4 linked regions of the Schizosaccharomyces pombe genome follow. The gene in region 3 interacts genetically with the main gene of each other region. Each region holds a gene or a part of one and is shown on either strand. Other genes may lie near its edges.

Region 1 (6,567 bases), 1.6 Mb from region 3:
AAAGAACAAACAATAAAGGGCCATGCTACGACTCATAAAGCAACCTTTGTTTCGATGTGCGAGTTCGGGACATTTGATGAAAGAGTCGCTTGTTTTTATCCATCAGACTCGTACTTTTCAAGTTGGAAAATTTACCTCAAATGAAAAATATAATGAAAAAATTGAAGATATCAATGAACGTTCAAATCCACAATGGGATAATGCGGGACTCGAAAATTTACTGAATCAACTTCAAGATTCTGTCGAACAGTCTGCCTCCGACGATTTTATGGGTGAATTAGAGAAAAAAATTGAAGTTGAAAATGAAGAACCGCCGCTAATGGGTACAAATCTGTGGCCTTCTCCGTCAAGTTCAATTGTAGGGTTAATAGATCGACCATTTCAGGTCGACTCTACAGTACAGCATTTGGTGAATTTAATAATGCGAGATGGGAAAAAAGCTAAAGCTGAAAAGATTGTTGCAACAGCGCTCTCTATCATACAAAAAGAAACCGGTGAAAATCCTATAGATGTTTTGAAACAAGCAATCGCTGAGATTTCTCCCTTAATGAAGTTGGTACGTCGAAATTATTGAAAATTTTGGAATTTTTTGTGAATTATTTCTTTTTATAGTGTGTAGACGGATTTGCTAATATTTTGATAGGTTTCTGCAAAGCGATTTAACAAAAGTGTCGAATTTCCTATGCCATTGAAAGAGCGACAGCGAAGAAGGATTGCGTTACAATGGATCCTCGGTGAATGTAAATCATCAAGTCCTAAAAGATTATCAGATCGTATTGTTAAAGAAATCATTGCTATCAGGAGCAAGACAAGCAATTGTTTCAAAAAGAAAGATCATCTGCACAGAATGTGCCTTGTTAACAGAGGTAATGCACCCGTTCGTATATAAAAACAAAAATTCCGTACATTTTTATCTTTTTTATGAATTGCATTCCCTTTTAGTAATGTTATTTTTGTCTAGTATATCGAGAATTGATTACTCTTAGTTATCAACTCAATTATACTACGTAGTGCGCAGTTAATCATATTCATGTTTATGAGGTTATAGTTTGGTTGTAAAATAACTTTCATAATATTCATCAACATTCTTCTACAGCTCCTTTTCAGTTAACGGAAATGCTACAGAATTTATCTTCTATGAAGTATATTGTTGTTTTTTCAAAACAAAGAAGGGAAAGTAAATTAGTTCATCGACTAAACTGTTAATTTCCTCTATATAAATTAAATTGACAATGTACAGCTAGCACAATGCTAGTTTAGAAATAAACAACAACGTGCAAAGACACAGTATCCATTCCTTTATTATGGACAGGATCCATAAGTTCAAACGTGCACGTTTCAAATGCCATTAAAACGTCTTCATCGGATGTGATGGTTATAAAATCGCCATCCTCATCAACATACTTCAGTCTAACCCGAAAAGGAACAGCTTGTTTCAAAATCCCACAAAGCTTTATTTTATGTTCTACCTTGGCTAACAGCTCATCAAATGTTATATCATGAGCAACAACCAGGACGAGACTAACCTCATGTAAACGGAGACGAATTTTAACATTCGTGGTATTTCGAACTGATAGGGAGGTAGACGTGGAACTCGAGCTTAACGAAGTATGTTTAGTAGAAGGGAGCAAACTACCATCTGATTTCATACCCGCTGAATATGAATATTGACGAGGTCTCATTACGTCGCAATCATTAGTAGTAGGTTGATCAAAAATTTTTTGTTTCGTTGATGAAGATGTATCTTCAAAAATGCTGACTGAAGACCCATCATCAGTACCTGAATACACCCTAGTTATATGACTTTGACGATTGTAGTTATAGTCGTTCAATAGCGAATTGACCTGGCTGATACGAGAGATTTGGCTAGGAATAGATGCAGTCGATGAAGAATCGTTACTAACTATAGTTGATGTTGTTTGCGAAGTACGAAGGCTACTGGTACCCACTGATTCTTCGCTGTTTAAACGAATGAAATCCGATGGCCTTTCATCAGTTGTGGTGGCAGACTTTGTATCCTTAGAAGTAGTTTTCGTGAACGGACTAGATTTGGAAGAGGGACTGGAAATGCTTGTAGGAGAATTAACATTTTCGTCAAGAGAATGTGTACGTAAAAGATCATAGTCGGAGGAGTTGTAACCCTTTGAAGTCTGAGAAGAAGAACGATTGTAGACAGGGTTAGCAGGGGTCGAAGCAGCACTACGAATATCCTTTGGAGATCCGTGCTCGTTTTTCCATAAAAGTCGATTAAGAACGGACATCCATAGTTTATGACTTTCTTCATTACGTAACTTAAGAATAAAAGATTCATGTTGAGGATCACCACGCCAAAATATTTGAATAGCATATGAGCCCATGTGATGGTTGGGAACCACAGTAGTGATGTTGGATGTCAGAATTCTTCCCTTCAGTTGAAGACTATCAAGACGTTTAGTTTTCTTGTTCATACTTATACTTCGGGCTTGCCGTTTCAGAGTTGACATTTCTTTACAACATAACAAAATTTTTTCAAAAAGGTAAACGTGATACTCTCTTTCTATATCGGCTTTGCATACATTAACAACATCCCAAACTAGCAGTTGTCCAAAGTATTGAAGAGAGTATCCTTTCCAATCAATCACACGTTGTTCAAGCTCAATAATGGCATTTCGGTTTTCATGAATACGACGAGTCTCATTAACTTGGTTTGCTACACGAACTACACAAGCCATTCCTTGTTTTAGTTCCTCTTCGTACTGATAACCTGAGGGAGTACCTTTTAGTAATTGATTCAAGAGAAGCGGATATTTACATATACGCTGTATAGGCTTAATCAGCAGAGCTGGTAATTCATAAGAGGGCTCAAGCAGGTTCGCAACTTTCAGTAACTGATTTTGATTATCAATGATCAGTTGTTGAGCATTCGGAAAATTTGTACAAAACACTTGGTAAACAGAAAATCCCTCTTCTAAGGCAATGAAGAGTGCGCCTAGTCGTTGTTCTTCTACAGGAAGCGAAAGATTCATCTCTAAACCAACCAAAAAACGTCTTTGAAAGTCTAAAATCTCGTTTAAATTCGTAAATATACTGAGAATAGTGTCCTGGGATAGAATTTGTTTTTGTTGAAGTATGACCATATAGTTGGACAAATATTCTAAATCTTGAATGTATTTTAATTCGGTTTCATATAATTCGGCAGTGACTCTACGGCCAGATGCAATCAAGCTGTTAAGAGTTCCTGTTGGTACATTATCATCAGTAGAAGGACTAGGAGTAGAAGATGATTTTGTGGTATTGGAAACTTCATACTTTTTCAATAAAAGTTCAATGGTTTGAAGAGCTCTAACAAGTGGAGCTGTCGAGGGTTTATAAATTTCTGATATGGAAAAAAGGGCGGCGTCTGTGAGTCCAAGTTCATTTTTACACATGAGCATGAAACGATATAAACTAGCTTTACACACGTTCGTATTTTCCAAAGAAACCGAACTATTAACTTCCAATTTTTGCTTAACTGGCAAGCAATTGAACAGGGCACACAATGGATAACCTAAACGACAAAACAGCCAAATTTCCGTAACTGGATCATCAAATTCAATGTCCTTAAATTCCAGTATTTTGAAAGAGCTATTCAAGGCTTCACGATGAATACTGTCAAAGAAAGCAGCCAACTCTGATATATCCATCAATCGCTTCCGGAGATTTAGACATCGTCTGTATAATGAAACCGTATTTTCTAAATTATAAATAACTTGTGACGGAGACTGTAAAAGCCTAAGTTTCATGTATTCTGACAGATTAGTCTCATCTTTACGAGGACCTACAAGGTTTTGGGTGCTGTGATTGATGTAAGAAGGAAGAGACCTAGAGGATGCTTTTAGAAGTTAGTTAGTTAATTGCATACACATAAATGGCGTTTTTGTGTTCTAAATTTCTTTCAATCGTTACATACTTTTGCGATCCTGAAAGTAGGCCATAACTGATAACTTCTTCTCGAGACTCCTTCCTAATGCAGTAAAATACAGAAAATAAAATTTCCTTTAACTGCTAGAAAAGTATAAGTACTCGCATGTAGTCCAATGCTTGAACAATTAATGGAAATTCAAACCAACAACCCAATTTCAAGATTTCTTAAACATAAAAAAGCCTGAAGTTTCTTTGGAATTAAATATAAAAATTAAAACTGACTCCAAAGTAAAATTGTCTAAAATAAGTTGCTGTTTTACTGCAATTGATAAAATCACAGTATGTATAGTTGACAAGGTACTAAGGTAATAGTGAGACACTTGGCGATCAGTTGAATCGAATAGCGTATCGTAAATGTATTACGGTAAATATACTTGTTTCTTCAGTTCATTTGATAGAAAATCCTACTGCTAAGTCTTTTGAAACGGAGATATTATGACGATAAAATAGCTGGCAACTGAAATTTCATTGCTAAAAAAATGAAGGGATATCTCCAACCATCCCAATATTAAAACGATTACAAAAGGCAAGCTTGCAAATTTGGTAAATAAATTAAGTAGAGCGATTGTTTTAGTAATGTAACAAGGAAAATCATGTATTGAACGGGAATTAAAAAAAAAATTAGTAAGACACAAATTTGGTAGGAAAGGTAGATGTCCAAGAAAAGAGTGAGGTCTTTAAAAAGGACGACGATGCTAAATAAACCAATTCAGCCTTTCAATTGATAAGAAGAGACAAAAAAGTTAAAAAAATTAATGTTAAGAACGTATTGAAATACAGTAGTAAAATGATAACGAATGGACCTGATGACTTAAAAGTATAAAACAGGGATAACGAGAGTAACGGCTTAATAAAAAGACTGAAAACAAAAATATTAAAGTAAAAGGAGTGAGTGCTTGACAGAAAGAACAAAGATAAGTAAGGGAAAATAGGAAAGATTTGAGGACTAGGACTCGGAGCACAAGTTTGACAACTTATCTGACAACAACTCGCTTCGGAAGAAAAATTGTCGTAGTTGAGATAATACATCTTGAGGAACAGAAGAGCTCATATTATTAGTGATATCACGTAAAAAGGTATTTTGTTCTGCACATAATCGTTGCCAATCAATAAGTAAAAAAGACAGTGTTTCTGTGTCAACGTTTCTTCCCATTGGAGAGGTCGAATGAGAAGAGGGACTTTCGGCAATTTCATGAGGAGATAATTCTTTTTTCTGTAAACTGTCGTTGGTATGTTTTAAAGAAGCCAAGATGGAATAAATAGAGGATTCAGAAGATTCGGATGGCTTTTCGATGAGACCCATCTTTTCAAGTCGTTGTTCCAATACTTGTACGCTATCATGAACTTCCTTCAGCATAAAAGAAGCTGAAGGACCAACCTTGTTAATCTCGTTTGATAAAGATAATGTACCAAAGCTCAAAGTGTTCGATAGAGACTTAAGATAACGTAACTCTGTCTCAGTGGATTGTTTCCTGATTTCTTCCAGCTCTTTCTTCGTATTCTCCATATCCTCTATAGGAGCCTTTAGTTTGGTTAATTTGTTCTCCTCTAGACTGCTTAACTTGGGTAAAGATTTGAGAAGCTTCGAGTACATCATTTGATATGCCAGTTTCTTTTCCAAATTTTCTTTTTTGGCTTTGCAAATTAATAATTTCTAAATTTTGCATGTTAACACACTGAATTAATGTTTCTATTTAAAACTTTACATACATTGTGCAATTTGCCAAACAAATTGGCTTCTAAAGGTTCCACTTCTTTGCTCTCACATATCGACTTGTTAATTAAAAAGGAATTAGCTGGAGAAAAGGCCATCGCGCTTACAGTCGAAAATATACTGCGTTTGGCACTAGCTTAAAACATGGAAGCTCCAAGTACTTACTATGAGTAGCGGAAATTGTGACTTGGCGAAACGAGTAACAAATGTTTATAACTATGTATTGTAAAAATAATATTTTATGAGTACGAAGATTAGTCTAAATGAATCGAAACTTTTTGAGGTAATTAGTAATTCGATTGTAGTTAAGGTATTTTATCTGAGAAACCGGCTTTCTAACGTTTTACAGCCACAGATCACTTAGACAACTGTTCTGATTAAAATATAACTTTTCCACGAAAGCTGATTATCACTTAGACCATAGCTAAAAAATCCTAAGGCTCTAATTGCATACTTAATAGCCAGCGTATATGTCACGAAGTATGATCTTAAATTATAAATCCAATTCAACACACTTCCGTGAAAGCCAAAGCAAGGGAGACCTGTAATCTTGTTTCTGTTTAATAAAAGAAAGCGGTAAAGAATTTTTTCTAAAAACATTAAACCAATTTCTTACAATGTTCGTTCTACAGTGTCTTCTCATTTTAATTTTGACTGAATGCTTTTTCGTCGCACTAAATAAAAGTCTACGAGATGAAATGATTGTATCAATTAAATACTTTATAGCAAACAGTAAGTCAACACTGTGAAATTCCATTCAGACTACCGCATTTCATTTTTATTTTTTCACAAACAGTTGTGGGGACAAATGGTTTTATTTTTTTAAGAAATAGAGAGTAAAATATCTTTCATCAAATTTATAGATAGAGATTCATCGTATTTGTCTCTCGAATCTAGACATTTAACGCACA
Region 2 (6,210 bases), 1.4 Mb from region 3:
ATCCATTATTGTATTAATTATGATATTCCCGTACGTTGCACATTCAGCGCTATTGTAAAAACTGAGTAGGTAATTTTTACTACACCAAAATGTCGATATTATTCGTCAGCTACGAACTTTGATGCTCTAAGTACTTATATTTATCCTTATTATAATAACCTTACCATTTTTTCCTACTACCGTTGTTTTTAATAGTTCCGCTGCTGAAATCACCTTATTGAACATGTGATATATGGCAATGTTGCATTCGTCTCTTCTTATCCACTACCACAAACCTTCTTGAACTGCTATAAAGGAATACACCAGCCAGTTTCTTTGGTCGAGATAGAAAGATTCTTATTTATTTCGTTCGTTTAAACAAACTAAACATAGAACAACATTATTTGCGTCAACACAACATGACTTCACATCAAACTGGGAAAATTGAGGTGCACTGGAACGATCCTTCTTCTGGTATCTTTTTAAGTCAAACTCAACGAACGTCTTCCACATCAAGTTTAAAGAAATCGGCTTCGAGTAGACGTTTGGTTTATGGTGATGACATGCTGGCACCCAAACCGTTAGCTGGTCAAGTACTTAGTAAATCACCACTTCCTCCTTTTTCACCTTCAAAAATTATGAACAGGAGTATATCTGTTCCTCCCACGAATATCTCTGTTCCTCAAATTAGCAGTAATCCTCTCAACTTGATGAAGAAAAGCAGTGACAATGATATCTTTACCACGTTTAACGATACAACAAACGATTGTATGAACGAAGCTTCTTGTGAAGATGTCAGGCACTCCCTATTGCAAATTATAGAAAGTAAATCAAATCTTAGTGATTCTGTTCATAAGATGTTGGGTGAACGAGTCAAAACGAATTTACTATTACAAGGTCAACTAGAAAACATGGAAGGCTTTTGGCTACAAAAATTATCGCAAACATGTCGCTTGGCGTTGACAGGAAACATTAGTGAGGCGAAGGCATTTATTGTAGAAATTATGTGTGCCGGTGTTGTAACTAATTGTGTGCGCTGGTGTCCAGTTTTGAAGACTCTAATTGAAAACCTTGCTATCTAGCTTTACATGTTGTTATATATTTTCTAAATCTTCCTGCTGCAAGTTATATGACACTAATGCTCTTTTTTTCTTAATTCTATCATTTTTAATGATGTTACTCATTTGCATTTTAACAAACCATTTATAAGCATGATTAGCTATGTCGGACGCTAACGAAGTTACAAGTTAAAGGATTTAATAACACTTCCTTTTTGAAATTAGAAGAAATCTTAATAGATATAATGGAAGTTTCCATTTTTTTTACAATATATATTTTTCTTATGGCCTGTCGATTAATAGTATTTTTAGTTTAATTTACTGAAACATTATATTTGTTTTTAGTGAACACCGTAGAATATTTAGGAATTTTGACTAGGTCTGTTTATCATACACACTTAGTATTAGATATCGTGATTTTTTGAATATATGAAAAAAAGTACTACAGACAGAAAATGCAGCGTATTAGCCTCAAGTAATTATTAAAAAAAATAAAAATTTTCTTTTAAAATTATACAGTGTTTACCAAAGTTATGTAAGACAATCAACTGCCGCTTCTCTCTCATTTCTGTTTATATACATCTTTAATGTTTATTACTTATTAAAAAAAAAAAAAAAAAAAAAAAAAAAACAAAGCAAATTACGTGCATTACCAAGAAAACAAAACCGCTCTAAATATTTAAGCTAATTAAAACAATGAAATAACAAATTTATTAACTTGTAACCGTAACAGTGGAATTTATTTTAACTGCTGTCATTTCTAGAATTTCATAAAGGGAGACATGAATAAATTTAACCTTATATTACAAATTGTAAATACGTAAATGTTTATCACAAAATCGAATACTCAAGTCATATTACTATGTACCTGTGCAAGCAACCATTTGTAAACCAAGTACAAAGGTAAACTGCCTCTGTCCGCGGTTGGCGCTCAAAAAGCTGAGCCAAGCCTATTTTTGGCAAACTATTTTTCGTGGGTGATTACGTTATGCATTGGTAATGAAGATAAGGAAGTGGAAGGTATTGAAAGTGGATTAAGAAGAAGTTGGCGCCAAATCTCCAAAACCTGTGCTTTACCAACAACGTTACCTAATAAAATTCATGTAAACAAAATTTCCAAAATTGTCATTCATTTTATTGTTCTCCAAATGTTTTCAATATGGAGACTTTAAAAGCAGATCTTTCGGATATGTCCGATTCCGTATGTCCTTATACTTGATTTGAATGTGTGTATATGTGTTAACAATGTTGATCAGCCTGAGTACTTTGAAACCTTGGCAAACAGGGATTTACCAAGATTGCCTGGAACAAGCAAGCTTCATCGAGCTGCATGTATTAAACGAAAATCTATCAATTTAAGCCTTCCTTCTAACAGTTATTCGCTTTCTTACCGACAATCAGACGACACTGATGGCGATGTTTCAGAATCACAGAGTGAATACAGGTTGAGTAGTGGAAGGAGGTCTCGAGCAAGCTTTGCTCGTGCTTTACAAGATCCCCAAACTCCAAACACTCCTCCCGTATCGTCTCAGCACCGAAGATTCTTTTCGGAGGGCTCCTTCAATTTGCCAAACTCCAACATGAGCCACTCATTAAATGGGGATTCTACAGCCTCTAATAGTTCTACTTTAACCCCTAATCGTATTTATGGGGACCGCAATCGTCAAGATTATGCTCAGTCTAGCCGATATACTTTGCCTTCGTTGCCTAGTTCCCCATCATATAACTGTCCTACAACACTTCGAAAAATACATACAAACACGAGTAGCAATGGAACTTCACGAAGAGTTAGCGGCCTAGGGTCTTTTATGGCACAGAATTCCTCTGAAACTAGCAGTAACAGGACTTCGGCGTATCTACCTGGTAGCTCTACGGATGAACAAGAAAAGCGTTCCAGTGTGACTTTGGCAAGTATGCCTTCCTCTCATTCGTCTACAGCGTCCCTCCTTTCACCTCTTGATACTACTTCTTTTTCTACTAAGTTGGACTCTACTATTTTGGCCTTGGAAACTGATGAGTCTCTCAGCCGAACAATTTCGTATGCCACTACTTCTTTACCGAGCACACCAGGTAAGCGTTTATCAAAGGAATCTCTTGCTATGTCTGAAGCCAGTTCTATCAATCCAGAATATAAGCGTATTAAAAAGCGTGCAAATTTGATTAAAGAGCTGGTTACTACTGAAGCTGCCTATTTAAACGATCTCATTGCGATTCAACAAAGTTATGGCTTGCGGGTCAAAGAATGCAGTGCATTGAATCCAGTTGACGCCCAAACAGTTTTTGGCGATATAGAGTCTTTATTAACTTTTACTGTGGAATTCCATAGTCGACTTTATCAAGCTGGTGAAGGCTCCTGGCGTGTAAACTTGGATACCCAGCTTATAGATCCTCTTCCTTGCAATTTAGGTCTTATTTTTTTAGAAAGCCTTTCTGAAATCGGTCAAATTTATACTGGTTATTGCAACCGTCAAGATTCGGTTTTCAAAATTATCACTAAATGGAGAGAGAAACCTGCAACTGCATCCTGGATTATGGAGGGTGATAAAATAGTTCAAAAATACACGAACGCCTGGGATTTGGGTAGTTTAATAATTAAACCTTTACAGCGCTTACTCAAGTACCCCCTATTATTGCAAAAAATCATTGATGTTACTCCTGAAAGTAGTTCTGAGCGCCCAGATTTGGTCCTTTCTTATCAACTATTACAGGAGTTAATATCTGGTATAAACCAGAAGCAGAAGCCTTCTCATAAGCGTGGGTCGTTAAGTGCTTCTCATAAACGAGACGCTGCTTGGAGTTTACTCTATAAAGCAACATCGAATAAATCTAGGCCCACCACTACATCTACTGAGTTAAAAACTGATGCTCGATTGAATTTTCAACGCCAAGTGCTTCAAGATTTTCGACAACGATTCGCTATATTAAAAGCCTTACATGCTACATTGGAAACGTGGTACGTTACTGTACATCGTGGATTTTCGGTTTTTGAAAAGGTTTTAGCAGAGCTTGAAGGGCTTAGTGCTTTAGAGCCCGAAGACAAGCCGGTAGATACGTGGCGTAAGTATCATTTACTTGCGCACATGATGACTGCTAACCTTCCTTCTCAAATACAAACGTCTTTAAATTCTTCTATCCTTAACCCAATCACAAATATCCTACGAGTGATTCAAAAAGTTATTCAGTTCATTATCAGCGCTGAATTTGTGATTCCTGCTCAAAAGCTTGAGGCAATTTCTACTCTTGTTGAGAAGGAATTTCACAGTGTTGTTTATCATTTTATTGGTATTCAACGCTCTCTCTATGAAAACTACGCTCAAGGTTTCTTGTTTCTTATCCCTCAAGACATGAGGGATAGCATCTTAGAAGAAACGCAAGATTATGCAGAGTTAGTTCGAGCCTTTGAACCCATGCATTATGATGACGAGGTATTGCTGGAGGAATTAATGAAAAGTGTCTCTTTAGCTGCGAGGGTTTAAGAGCAACTTCTTTAGTCGAATATTTTTTATCTGTTCTATATATATACACATTTAGATATACTGCATTCATGTTACTTGAATGATGAAAACGTTTCTCTGGACCATGGTTTTTTGCAGCTTCCATGTATTTAACATCACAATTACATTTATTTAACCTAATATCTGCGTTTGTCTGATTACAATTCGTTTAGGTTCTTTTAACGGTCTTTTTTTGTCTATCACAGAGGCCTGTTAAGTTTAGTTTCAAATTAGGATTCTAAACGCTTTTACGCCTTCCTTTTATGCATCTCATTATTTTTGTCTGCTCAAGTCGAGCTATTAATTATTGTCTTTTCACTTTTTTTTTTTAAACTAGGAACGTTTTGGCTTTTCTGCTGTTATGCCATTTTATTTGTTCATACGCTTCCACTTTTCATTTATATGCTTTAATAATGTATATAATATTTGACTTTCACTTTAACTATGTTTTATGTTTAAAATATGTAATTAGGTTTTGATTGAATTAATTTTGTTCGTCGTTATTTATCCTAGTTGACTAACAAAAACAGGTCAAATTCTTACATTCGTAGTAAAACCAAAACGTAAATAAAAATACTTACGATGAAACAGTCTGGAACCATCCGATAAAGTGCAATGATAAGTACGATAAATAACCTTTTAAAAGTCACACTGTTAATTACGGCAAATACAAATTTATTATACAAGAAACCAAAAAATTTATTTTTATAAAACTGTCTCAATAACCTTCATTATAGGTTAATGAGAACGACGAGAACGGACGGCAGCAGCCAACTGTTCAAAAACGGCGGTAGTGTCGTCCCAACCAATGCAAGCATCGGTGACACTGACTCCATATTTCATACTTGACAAATCATCCTCAGGTATAGCTTGCTTACCTTCGTTAAGGTGAGATTCGATCATGACACCAGTAATTGCTTTCTGACCGTTTGCCACCTGCTCAGCAATACAAGCAGCAACCTTGGGTTGATTCTTATGGTTTTTAGATGAGTTTCCATGAGAACAGTCGATCATGATACTAGGTAGCTTGTTGCATTCTTCGAGTTTAGCCTTGGCACCAGCCACTGAATCAGCATCGAAGTTAGTCCCACTTTTACCACCACGCAAAATAATGTGTGTATCAGGGTTACCTGTAGTAGTAACAATGGCTACAACACCCTGCTTTGTGACAGACAAGAAATGATGAGGGTTGGCAGAAGAATTCATAGCATCTATAGCAATACCAATGTTACCGTCAGTAGCATTCTTAAAACCTATTGGAAAAGAAAGCCCTGAAGCAAGTTCTCGATGCAATTGGGACTCAGTGGTACGAGCACCAATAGCGCCCCAGCAAATTAGATCAGCTAAATATTGGGGACTTATAGTGTCCAGCATCTCTGACGCTATACCGACACCAGTTTCCAGAAGCTCCAGAAAAATGCGTCGAGCGACACGAATACCCTTATTAATGTTATAAGATCCATCCAAATCGGGATCATTAATCAACCCTTTCCATCCAACAGTTGTACGAGGCTTTTCAAGATAGGCGCGCATAATAATATGCAAGTCCTTCTTGTGCTTAATAGCCTCCTTTTGCAAGCGAATGGCATACTCCTTGGCGGCAACAGGATCGTGTAAAGAACAGGGTCCAACGATTAGAAGAAGTCTATCATCACGTCCCGCAATGATATCGGCGGCTT
Region 3 (4,819 bases):
GCCAAGGCCGCTACTAAATCCGAAGCTGAAAAGCAAAAGCCTTCAGGAAAATTTGAGGAAGGCACCGGTGGTCGTGCTCCTCCTCCTCCTCCTGCTGAGGAAGTAGCTCCTGAAAACGAAGAAGTTGAAACTATGGAAATTGACGAGCAAAAGGAGTAAAAATGGAAGAATATTATTCTTTAGGTTTAGTGTAGTGTTTAATATTTCCCTATTTTATGCGAGAATTTCATTTACGCGGTATGTTTAAACTTCGTAAAATCGAATCTCAACTGGGTTTCGGTAGGATACATTTCAATTTAGATATCTTTCTTATCAGAATTACTGGAAGTAAGTTAAAATATAGTCATTGTTAATAAAACAAACTATTGCAGAAGCTTTAAAATAATCACATGTATTTAAGCAATACTGTAGATCCATTTTTTCTCCTTTAATGCTCTAGCGACAAGAGCAAATGAGTCAACATAATCGTATCACCTAAAAATGATTAAATTATCGATTTATTTTCTAACAAATGAAATAATATTATTTGCGAATTACCTGGCTACACTAATATTAGAGCTAAAATCAAAGTCGGACCATACCGAATTCTGCGAGTAATGGCAGAAGAATACAATAATGTAGCAAAAGTATAGCAAAATCGTCGTTTATTTAACGGAAAAAGGAAATATGCCTAGCCAGAAAACACAGATATGTAAAGCCCAAGAAGTGTGTGATTGACAGAATGAATGAAGAAGCACAAAAGCTAGGATGAAAACAACAAATAGCAAATATCTTTGCAAATATGAGGGATCGTTAAAGAAAGCTAAGACATTGTTTACTGTTGTAAACTAGCTGTATTAAGGAAATTTCGGAAAAGGAAAGAAAACCAGGGGTTAAATTACAGTACCAAACACTTTGACTTTTTCTTGTGAGGAACAGGAGGATCAAGAGCGGCTACAATAGCTTCATCAAAAACATTCTTTAACCCTTTTTGGGTCAAAGCGGAACACTCAACATACTTGACAGCACCCAACTCACGAGCTAATCGTTCACCTTGCTCATGTGTAAGGGGATGCTGATGCTGGCGAGCTAGTTTCTGTTGCACAGAAGGGTCATCACGTAAATCAATTTGGGTACCAACAATTAAGCACGGGACGCCCGGACAATGATGATGAACTTCGGGAAACCACTTTTCTTTCACATTTTCAAAACTGGCAGGAGAAGTTACACTAAAACAAACCAAAAAGACGTCTGTTTGAGGATAGGATAAAGGACGCAAGCGATCATAATCCTCCTGACCAGCGGTATCGAATAAACCAAGAGTGTATGGTTCATCACCGATCATGACAGTGACAGCATACTATTTTAGTCAGTAAATCTTTACTATAAAATGAAAATCAGCTATATCAATTAAAAACGGGAGTAAAAGCAACAAGAAAGTTAGAATAGTCCCCAATATAGCAAATAGCAGAAATAATAACGACCAAATCTTCCTGGGAAAGAAAGTGGTCGCCTCATCTTATTCCTTACGAGATAAGGCTTCCTACGGTCTTTAGATCTAGTGTGGAAAAAAAAAAGCATCGGATAAAAAAAAATTATTAAACTTTCAATAGTTTCTGAGATAAAATCGATAAATACATTGAGTCATTGTTTAATCCTTCAGCCTTTTTTTGACAAAAAGCCTTATATCAAAATTTTCCGTGACCGAACATTTGAATAGTAAAAAATTTCTAATATGGGGACAAAACTTCACCAAGTACTTCATTCCATAAACAACTAATTATACTTACATTATCGAATACAGTTGGCACATAGTCACTAGGAAACTTGTTTGTAGTATAGGAAATAAGCAGACAGGTCTACATTCAAACGGTCAGTATGTGTAAAACTCAAAAGAACAATTTTTGGAAAGAAAGAAATAAAGGGGAATGTATAGACAAAAGAAACTTCATTTTAGATGATAGCAATTCTTGTATTTTTTTATGCATTGCTTAACTTCACCTTCCGTAAACATCAACTCACCTTTCCTACAGCACCGTCTCCTACTACGACACACTTAATGGTGGGCATACTATTTCACAAAAAATAATTAATCGTAAAGCTTTGCTTCACTTTATTGAATTCCTAGAAAGTTCAAACCCCTAAGTATCAAACACCGGTGTTGGTTGTAGGTAAATATATTGTGCGGTCACCGTAATTAGTTCGCCCAGCCATGCTTTATTAAGATATACTACAGCGGCTAATCCAATCTCACTATTAGATTTTACGAATTGTAAAGCGTAAAAAAACTCAAAAATGCAACTTTTATTATTATATTACTAGGAATGAAAAAAATTAATAGATGCAGAAGTTATGGAGGCATGTATGTGATGGAGTCATCTTTCAAAAGTTTAGGCAATTAGCAAGCATAGATTGTTTAACAAAAAAGATAGCAATTTATCTAATTAACATTGAAAATTCATTGGTAATATTGGGTAAGTGTTCTAGTATCGGTATTTCGCATCCAAATAAGCCTTTTTTATAAATCCTCTATTTCATCAAAATCTTCTTCGCTAATTTCCTCCTCTTCTTCGCTTATCTCCTCACTTGAAGACGGTGCTTCCGAATAATTTATACGAATCCCTTGAAATCTTGAGCTACTTCGTTCTGGCACGTTCCTAATATTAGGATTCTGCTCATTTAGCTTTCTCCTTTTTTCGTTTTTCCTTCTTCTAGACGATTTTTTATCGCTCTTTGAGCTATGAGTCTTCTTTTGCTTCAAATTTGCGTGCTTATTGGTAGTCTGTTTCGCAAAAGATGAGACTGGTGTCCTTATAGCATGTTCAATCTGACTTTCCATTTTAGGCGTTATGAAGATTTTATTGAAAATTCTCTTTTTCTCATCTATAGAGGGAATTGGTCTTAAAATTTCGTAAGGTAATTTAATTTGCTTTGGATACGTAGTCAAACTCCATCCAAAGTTCTGGGATTTCACCTGCAATATTTTCTGAGCCATGTCGCTTAGCACATAAATGTAATTGTTTCCATCTTCAATAACATCATAGCTTTGTTTTATGCGTTGCATTAGATGAAAAACGATTGGGACGTTCTCACTATTAACAACAGTGTCAACGTAAAAGCGAATGTATGCAATAAAATCAAGCGAGTTCTCTGATTCTATCGAAGATATGTCTGGATGGTGAGAGAGAAGATGGATAAGATATGTTGCTACATATTCCATGGTAAAATCATGGGTTTTCTGGAAAAAAGCAACCTGAGAACGTATCCATATAGACGCTTTAGTCTTGATCTCCTCTTCCGGATCAACAGCAGTCAGGAACAATAAAGGATAATAACTAATTGGCAACTTTTTAAGTTGCAGCTGCTTCTGAAGCTTCGTCAAAAATAAATTTCTCACGTCAAAATTTTCATCTTGGCATAATAAGGAGATTTGAACGTAAGAACTAAAATCTATATGTTCCGCATAAAAAGGAATGGAACATAACTTTAAAAAATATTTGCTAGCAGTGAGACGTAAATAAGCACGAGAAATTTTGGGAGTATTCTTGAACGGACTTAATTCACCGTCAGCCATTAACAATACTTTCAATAGCTTAATGATAGGAGCTCCAATATTTAACGCTTCGGTTCCTCCTGCCGCCGCCCTCAGTCGATTAACCAAAACCCTAATTGCTAAAACTTTGCACATGGTAAGATTATCTAATTTTTCGTAAGTACACCATTCCTCATCATTATGCGTATCATCATATTTTTCAGGAAAGCGCTGTATAACTTTTTTTACTAAAAATTCTGTAACTTGGTCAGCAACCTTCTCTACCTCTTCTAAAGTGTATAGAAATAGTTGTCCTAAAGTCATAAGCCGTACAGGAAGTCCTCCATTATACTCCAAATTTTCCACGATATTCGTTATCATATCGAGTTTGAATTCTTTCGTCTCCGTTATAGCGATAATCGTCGCTGCCTGTTTGGCTTGTTCCTGTGTTCCATGTAGACACAACTTTCGTAGTATTTCAGCAGTTGTTGTTTGTATAGAAAAATTTTTTTTTCTTTTGGAGAATTGGGAAAGAGCTTTAATTACTTTAGGATCCGATTCAATGCCCGAAGAAACTATAATATTTTCAACTTCTATAACAACCTCTCCATATATGTTGGGATGAATTAGCGGTAAATGCTGTAAAAGAGCCTCCGACGGCTTAAGGAAATTGTGGTATTTTACAGGTTCATTTAATAATTGAATTATTTCATGCACGTTGCTTTTATTAAAAGCAAACAGAGCTGAACGGTAAACGAATATTCTAAAACATTCAAGACTTGCGGTACTCAACGTTTCAGAAACCCTTTTAAATAAATATTTTATGCTTTTTAAAACAACTTGATATTCACTTTTAATGGAAAACGTTTGTAAAAGCATTTTGTAGCTTTGACGATCATTAAGTTCCGCAAATTTTCTGAAAGTGGCTTCTGTTAATGTAGGATTAGAACTTTTTGATGATATGATATCAATCACCTTCTTAAGCTTGTTGGTAATTGACTCTTCATCATTATCCATAACACCTCCATTGTAATTTTTGCAGCACTCAATGTAGTAATTTAAGAGTTCCGAATACTTAACTTGTCTTTGTAAAAGTAGAATAAAAACTCGCATCGCTTTTTCACTAAAATACTTTATTGAAAGGAAAAGCCTGTTTAACCTTGTTTGCGTATCAGAACTAAGGTATTGTAGGACCAGTTCAGCCATACAAATTTCAACAGCCGCATTAGTTGTTTCATCATTAACATAAAATACTTCCAAAAGAGATGAAGGGATCCAGCTGAACATCTGTATTGAGTATTCCACACC
Region 4 (6,547 bases), on a different chromosome or scaffold from region 3:
CATATTTTTATGTCAGGGAACTTCAAATTTCTATGATGCCTTTTCCTTCTATTTATCACCCCCTTCTTCTTGAATTAGTTTAGCTTTTCAATCACGAACTAATCGATTTCGTGTTTCTTTACGATTAAACTTATTTATGCAATACTTAAGTAGTTTAGTAGATGCCTTTTAAGGTTGTTTAGCTGCACATGTAACAGTAATTTAAATTTCATTAAATGTACAACATGATAAATCAGTTATTTTACCTTCTATGATGAAGCTTTTTGAATCGAAAATGGAGGGATAAAACACCATTGTCAAAACTGCTTTTAAACCCATGATCTCGTTTTGCACTGTAATCCCAATCTTTATCTACTATACTGAAGGCAATATCCTGATATGGTTCCCCAGCTATAAAACGTATAATGCAAACATCGTCTTGTAAATCAGTAGTGTCGCTTTTATTCTTCCTTCGTGTTCGTTCTATTCGATACGTTGGTGCACGGCCTGTACCTATTAAATCTGGATAAAAAACGTTAAAACGGTACCCTTGAACTGCTTTGGGAGGTGGGTGGGCTTCATTGAAATGTGCTTGATTATAAGAATTCCATTCAAACCCAAGCAAAACTCTATTAAAGTAGTGAGGCTTTTTCAAAGTAACCCCGTTTTCGTTAACAACACGGGTTTGCCCTTCTACATAGTCCCCAAGCATCTCTTGCTCCTCTGCATCATCGGATTGTAAGTATTCTCTTTCGAGTCGTGCCCTGTTGGCAATTGAAAATTCATCCTCGTTAATCAGATTACTGTTTTTCGGCAAAGTTGGCTTTTGTTTTTGGGTAGGTATCGATATTGGAATATAAGTGCTAGACTTTACAATATTGACATGATCATTCTAGAAAAGATTTTGGTTAGGACAAAAGATGGAAATCGTAATTTGGAAGAGAGTTAATATTATGAAAAACACAAATATCTTACCAATTCTTTTTCATAATCGGCTTGTTCTTCAGGTTGTATCCTGCGTGGTATCGCTTGAGCCCTCAAAATGGGCTTCGGGTCTATAGGGACAATATATAACTTCTCTTCACGATCCTTCATATTTGACAGTTTTTTGGCATCGGAAAAAGCTTTGTCCCATTCTTCATTATCAAGTTTATTTTTTCGAATTTGTAATTCTTCATTAAAAGTCTTTTTTAAATAAGCAATGGCCTTGTAAGATTTTAAAGAGTTTAGTAAATCAACCCAATAATCTGTATCGAGAGGGACATTGCTCTTCAATTTTTTTTGAATTTGTGCCTCAAGCTGTTCTAATTGTTCAAAAGATTTAGGGGCTAAAATCCTTTGTACTTCACCTGCTACGACCTTTAACCCTCTTGAAAATTGCCCAACTTTGTTATGTTCCATTCGAGAATTCACTAGCATTTTAACGTACTATAATGTATAATTTAGCACTTAAAGCATAAAAAATAATCCATACCTTCCAATAAGTTAGTCTACATTGGTTCGTTTCCAGCTGCTGAATATCACCAATATTTCTAGATATCTCCTCCAAATCTTCTGCTTTATAACTCTAAGTATGTTAATGATTAATCTGTTATAAAGTAAAAATAAAATAAGTCCCTTACTTGAATAACAGAGAGTGGATCAAACATGTCAACTGTTCCAAAATCAATTGAATTTTTTTCTCCATTCTCTTCCCATTCTGGGCCTGGCATCAAGTAAACGCTGACAAGAAGTTTATCTATAGGCTTAGAACGATCATTCTTAAGTCGAATAATAGCTCTTCGAAGCTGCTGTAAACGCAAAAATTCCCGTTCTTGCATTTCTTTCGTTTCCCTACTTCGCTCTTCCTCTTTCATAGCATCTCTCACTCTCGGCTAAAGGGAAGGTTAATTCAAAAACAACTAACATTTTCCTACTTACTAAATTATAATTTGCTCTTGCATTTTGATTTGAAGGTCGAAATGAACGAGGTGAAGAAGATCTCGAAGCATGCCTTTTTTCAGGTCTACTTCTGTTGAAATCGCGAGTTGAATCACGAAATGCCATAGTAATATATTTAAATTCAATGCCTTAAATACCAATATTGCTGTATGAAGGGTGCTTTCCAACAGAAGAGAATCCAATTGCTTTTTTTTTATTTGAAACAACTCAATGAGTAGGTTAAGTTTTTTTTTTTGAAATTTGAAACGTAGAGCTTTGTTATTTGATAAATGAACTTAAGGTAATCAATTACTTAGCAATAATAAGACTTATCCAACAATAGTAAAATTTATGGTTATGGCAAAGGTGAAATTTTATTGCATATTCGAATGCTTAGTAGGTAGTTCTAATTTGACGCTTGGTGGTTTGAAAGAAATTGAGCGGTAATGTTATAGCACGAAAAACCCCTAATTCATTATAGTTGCTATTGGTAAAAGTCTCAACGATATCGACTAAAAGGTGAAGTAAAACTCAGTATTTAGTACCTAACGAATATAGGAATACCCAATATAAAATATAGAATATAATTTTGTTTATAGCGCTCACTAGTCCTCTGCTTTCAAACTAATCAGATATTTAGGCCATCAGTTAATTGGCAATAAAGTAGCTAGTGCAGCAGTTGTGGTGTTTATAGAAGTGCTAGAAGAATATATACACTTATTTGATGTTCTATTGCAATTATAGGTGAAAATGATTTAAATTTGTCGGACGATTTATTAAAGTGTGATAAAAGTAAAGCAAAGCAAGAATCTTGCCAGGCATGTGTACATTATAAGTTACAAACCAAACGATAGCGATTCAGTTCAATCATCGAATTTAGTTGCCTTTTATAATAATAAAAATACTGTAAAAGCATCTATGATACTGAGATAGCATTATACACAACTAGTGAAAATGAAAAGGTAAAACAGTATTTCAACTCGATTTTAATCGTAACTACCTGTATTTGTGTTTATTGTCAAAATATGTAAATAATGTAATTGTTTACATCTTTTATTGCCATAACAACCATTCAAAACAAAGTGCGTTACTTGACTAAGAAATGTAACTTGGCAAATGCCAAACAGTCAACATTGAAGCGCACTCAAAAAACGCGTTTCTCGCTCTTTTCTACTGTTACATCTATTTTAATAGTGATCTTCGATATAAATTGCTTTTATTCAAGAAGGTTATTGGAATTGTTGTTTGCGAGTGCCCTTCTTTTCATCTGTTTTGGATGATTGCTTGCATGGAAATTTTGCTTTTCAATGTCAAGACAGTCGTCCATTACCGTTACAGGTTAGTCTTTAATGTGATGTTTTTTAAATTCATATCTTTTTGCTAACATAAAATAGTCCGTGTTCGCCCATTTAGTACAGCTGAATCTGCAAATTTAATTGCATCCTCAGATCGTTTATCATTTGGAACATCTTCTTCCTTAAGGAACCCTGGTTCAGGACGTCAAATTCGACGAGTAGTAAAGGTACTTGATGGACGTGTCTTGGTATTTGATCCCCCGGATGAAACAACGGCTACTTTGAGTGCCACAAACCGCAGACTTTCTACTTCTCAACAGAGTCTCGCTAGATTATCTAGAAAGTCAAACAATTCTGCGGGATTTGGCCGTGATCTTCGTTATGCTTTTGATAGGGTTTTTGATGAAACTGCTACTCAGCAACAGGTGTATGAGAGAACTGCCAGGCCGTTATTAGACAATATTTTGGATGGATTCAATGCTACTATCTTTGCATATGGAGCAACTGGATGTGGTAAAACTCACACCATTAGTGGAACAATGCAAGATCCTGGTTTAATATATTTGACACTAAAAGAACTTTTTGAGAGAATGGATCATTTAAGAGATGAAAAAATTTTTGACCTTCGCCTTTCCTATTTGGAAATTTATAATGAAACTATTCGTGATTTATTAGTATCACCGACCCCAAATCAAGCAAAGCCATTAAATTTACGGGAAGATGCAGACCGTCGCATTACTGTACCAGGTCTTACTTCTTTGTCTCCAGAATCTTTGGAAGAAATCATTGATATTATCATGAAGGGAAATGCTAATCGTACTATGTCTCCGACAGAAGCTAACGCTGCTTCATCTCGTTCGCATGCTGTATTGCAGGTTACGTTGATCCAAAAACCTCGTACAGCTGGCATCAATGAGGACCACACTTTGGCCACTTTATCAATTATTGACTTGGCTGGCTCAGAACGTGCAACAGCTACCAAATTAAGAGGTAGTCGTCTTTTTGAAGGTGCTAATATTAATAAATCTCTTTTAGCCCTAGGAAATTGTATCAATGCCCTTTGTGATCCCCATCGCCGTGCGCATGTCCCCTATCGTGATTCTAAACTTACTCGCTTACTTAAGTTTAGTTTAGGCGGAAATTGTCGGACAGTTATGATTGTTTGCGTATCTCCGTCTTCTGTTCATTACGAAGAAACTCACAATACTCTAAAATATGCTAATCGAGCAAAGAATATCAAAACCGAAGTGTTAAGGAACATGATCAGTGTAGATCGACATGTAAGCCAATATGTAAAAGCAATCGTTGAGTTACGTGAGCAAATTTCAGAGTTGGAGAATCGTCTCGCACAGATCGATTTGTCATCGCAATCAAATGGTTCTGATCAGGACGCTGTAACTCAATCTTTTGCTCATGAATCGAAGCTTGCAGAAGCCAGAAATTTATTGCGTATGACATTTGAGGAGACTTTACCACTGCAAAATGATACTATTAATAAGGTAGAAAAGGTGAAACATTTTGATGATTCAATTCGCGTACTTAAGTACTGGTTATCCTGCTATGAGCGAATACTTCCGAATTCCGCAGATGAACGAGTATTTTTAGTTCGTTCAAAGTTAGAATCATTGTTAACTCGTCGTGCAGAGATCATTGCTGATATAGATCCTGAACTTGTATACCAAAAGTTTCAGAGAAGTGTTTCTCACATTATCAACACATACAAACAAGAAGGTGCTACCATGTACGCTGATGTGTTACAGGATGAAGTTGACTTGCTAAAATCAATTATTGAGAATCAGGTTCTAGATGCTCAGAATAAAGTTGATGAGTTCACTCCTGTTTTAGAATCCCTTCTTAGAAGTTCTTTCAAAGCTAGTTCATTGCTAAAAGAGGGAGGTATGCAAGAGCTATTCTCGATACTGGAAAAGTGGTTGTTGGGCATTGGTCTTGGCGAGAAACCTAATATATCTGTCTTATCAGAAAGTTATAAGCTCAACTCAACATCCGATGATTCACGAACTATCAATCGTGATAGAGTTCATAGTTTTCCCACTCAACCCTTGCTTAATAATAACTTGCCTCGAATGTTTTTCGTGAAGTCTCCAAAAAAACCAGTTGTATTTTCAAAACGTTCTCCAAAAAAGAGGGTTCGTTTCGACGATTCAATGTCTACGTCTGACTCAGGTGCCTCCGCGTATAACTCACCCATTCAAACCTCTAAGTTAAAGAACATGAACTTCTTTAATACTATGCATATGCCTTCAACTCCTGCACATAAACGGCCTGAAAATAAGAATCAGATAGATGTTGAAATTAATCTTACTTCGCCTGTCTCCCCGATGTTGGAAGATAAACCAGAACCTGGACTTTTGATAAAAAGTCCTTTGGAGAAAAAGCAAGAAGTTAATAGTGAATCCACACAGCTTGATCAACTGCTGGCCGAGGACTCGTCAACTGACGATGTTTCTTTACCTCATCTGGACACTATTGATCTGGATGGTAGTCCAGTCCCAAAAGTTCCTGATTTGAATTTTTCCAGAGCCAATATGGACTCACCAACATTCATCCTCAACAATGAAGCTATTCACAACTTTGATTTTTCTAAACCGAAGACTCGACAAAGCCTCAGTTCATTGACTACTCTTCATCTTTCAAATCCAGCTAACATTATTAGGAAATCTTTAAGCATGGCTGAAAACGAAGAAGAGAAAGCCACCTAAAGGTCCGTATATTCAAATACGAATCCTCTAAATATCCTGTTGGGTATATTTAAAAAAAAAAAACGGATAAGCTTGATGATATGAATTTTTAATGAATTAATAACTTATTAGATTATATATTTATAAACCCTAAAATTCTCTTAGTAAACTTGCACAATTCGTTCGTAATGCACTATCAAATACAAGCGTACATATATGTCTGCCACCTCCAATGTACATAATTTTGTTTTTTTCTACCTAAGCAAAACACAATTGACTTGAAAAAAAAATAAGTACTATAAATGCAATTTATTAACTTTAATTAAATTTTTCCTAAATATCCTTATACACGACTAGTAAAGACGCTTTTCGTATGTAGCAAAACCTTGGATATCACCTTCACGGATGGCAGCGCTCGAACGTAACTCGAAGCGAACTTCATGCTTGTCGACAGCTTCATGAAGCTCATCAAGAGATTTGGTACCAATATCTTGAAGAGCGTGTTGCAAACCAGTGTAGAGATAAGGTAAAAAGCGAAGAAGCGAGCCCTTGTCGACGACCAAACCAGAGACACCTTGGGCAACACGGACAGCATCGTTTTCAGAGAAATAGCGGCCAGTAGAAGCATTCTTATTAACACCAGTACCTTCCATT

What was found.
Region 1: of cdc42 (region 3) and scd1, a mutation in one rescues a mutant of the other (synthetic rescue), as found in Schizosaccharomyces pombe (3 studies listed by BioGRID, with this or other methods).
Region 2: of cdc42 (region 3) and gef1, changing one suppresses a phenotype caused by changing the other (phenotypic suppression), as found in Schizosaccharomyces pombe (5 studies listed by BioGRID, with this or other methods).
Region 4: mutations in cdc42 (region 3) and klp5 are lethal when combined (synthetic lethality), as found in Schizosaccharomyces pombe (one study listed by BioGRID).

Annotation. Positions count from the first base shown.
Region 1 is NC_003424.3:3,513,216-3,519,782, reverse strand, and holds scd1 (RhoGEF Scd1), read right to left. Parts: upstream 4,237-6,567; 5' UTR 3,954-4,236; coding exon 3,929-3,953; exon of another isoform or gene 3,851-3,928; coding exon 1,257-3,850; 3' UTR 1,049-1,256; downstream 1-1,048. Other genes in the region: rsm7 (mitochondrial 37S ribosomal protein uS7m), read left to right, coding at 23-556, 644-889; protein Pos1, read right to left, coding at 4,889-5,596, 5,653-5,754. UniProt on the Schizosaccharomyces pombe protein: Required for mating and morphogenesis. May contain a cryptic binding site for cdc42 that is enhanced by binding Ras. Interacts directly with scd2. Promotes the exchange of cdc42-bound GDP by GTP.
Region 2 is NC_003424.3:468,886-475,095, reverse strand, and holds gef1 (RhoGEF for Cdc42 (Gef1)), read left to right. Parts: upstream 1-2,105; 5' UTR 2,106-2,196; coding exon 2,197-2,238; intron 2,239-2,293; coding exon 2,294-4,513; 3' UTR 4,514-5,115; downstream 5,116-6,210. Other genes in the region: SPOM_SPAC24H6.08 (uncharacterized protein), read left to right, coding at 399-1,061; SPOM_SPAC24H6.10C (phospho-2-dehydro-3-deoxyheptonate aldolase), read right to left, coding at 5,270-6,210. UniProt on the Schizosaccharomyces pombe protein: Has a role in the control of cell polarity and cytokinesis. Involved in bipolar growth, via modulation of cdc42-shk1-orb6 signaling, and septum formation. Stimulates guanine nucleotide exchange of cdc42.
Region 3 is NC_003424.3:1,913,338-1,918,156, reverse strand, and holds cdc42 (Rho family GTPase Cdc42), read right to left. Parts: upstream 2,149-4,819; 5' UTR 2,050-2,148; coding exon 2,002-2,049; exon of another isoform or gene 1,839-2,001; coding exon 1,770-1,838; intron 1,340-1,769; coding exon 878-1,339; 3' UTR 501-877; downstream 1-500. Other genes in the region: heat shock protein Pss1, read left to right, coding at 1-159; mitotic and meiotic cohesin loader subunit Pds5, read right to left, coding at 2,498-4,819. UniProt on the Schizosaccharomyces pombe protein: Involved in development of cell polarity during the cell division cycle.
Region 4 is NC_003423.3:1,708,581-1,715,127, reverse strand, and holds klp5 (kinesin-8 family plus-end directed microtubule motor Klp5), read left to right. Parts: upstream 1-3,010; 5' UTR 3,011-3,206; coding exon 3,207-3,237; exon of another isoform or gene 3,238-3,293; coding exon 3,294-5,914; 3' UTR 5,915-6,047; downstream 6,048-6,547. Other genes in the region: cay1 (cactin), read right to left, coding at 242-871, 955-1,407, 1,454-1,546, 1,602-1,853, 1,900-2,025; IMP dehydrogenase Gua1, read right to left, coding at 6,247-6,547. UniProt on the Schizosaccharomyces pombe protein: Has a role in establishing metaphase during mitosis. Required for chromosome segregation where it generates tension during kinetochore capturing.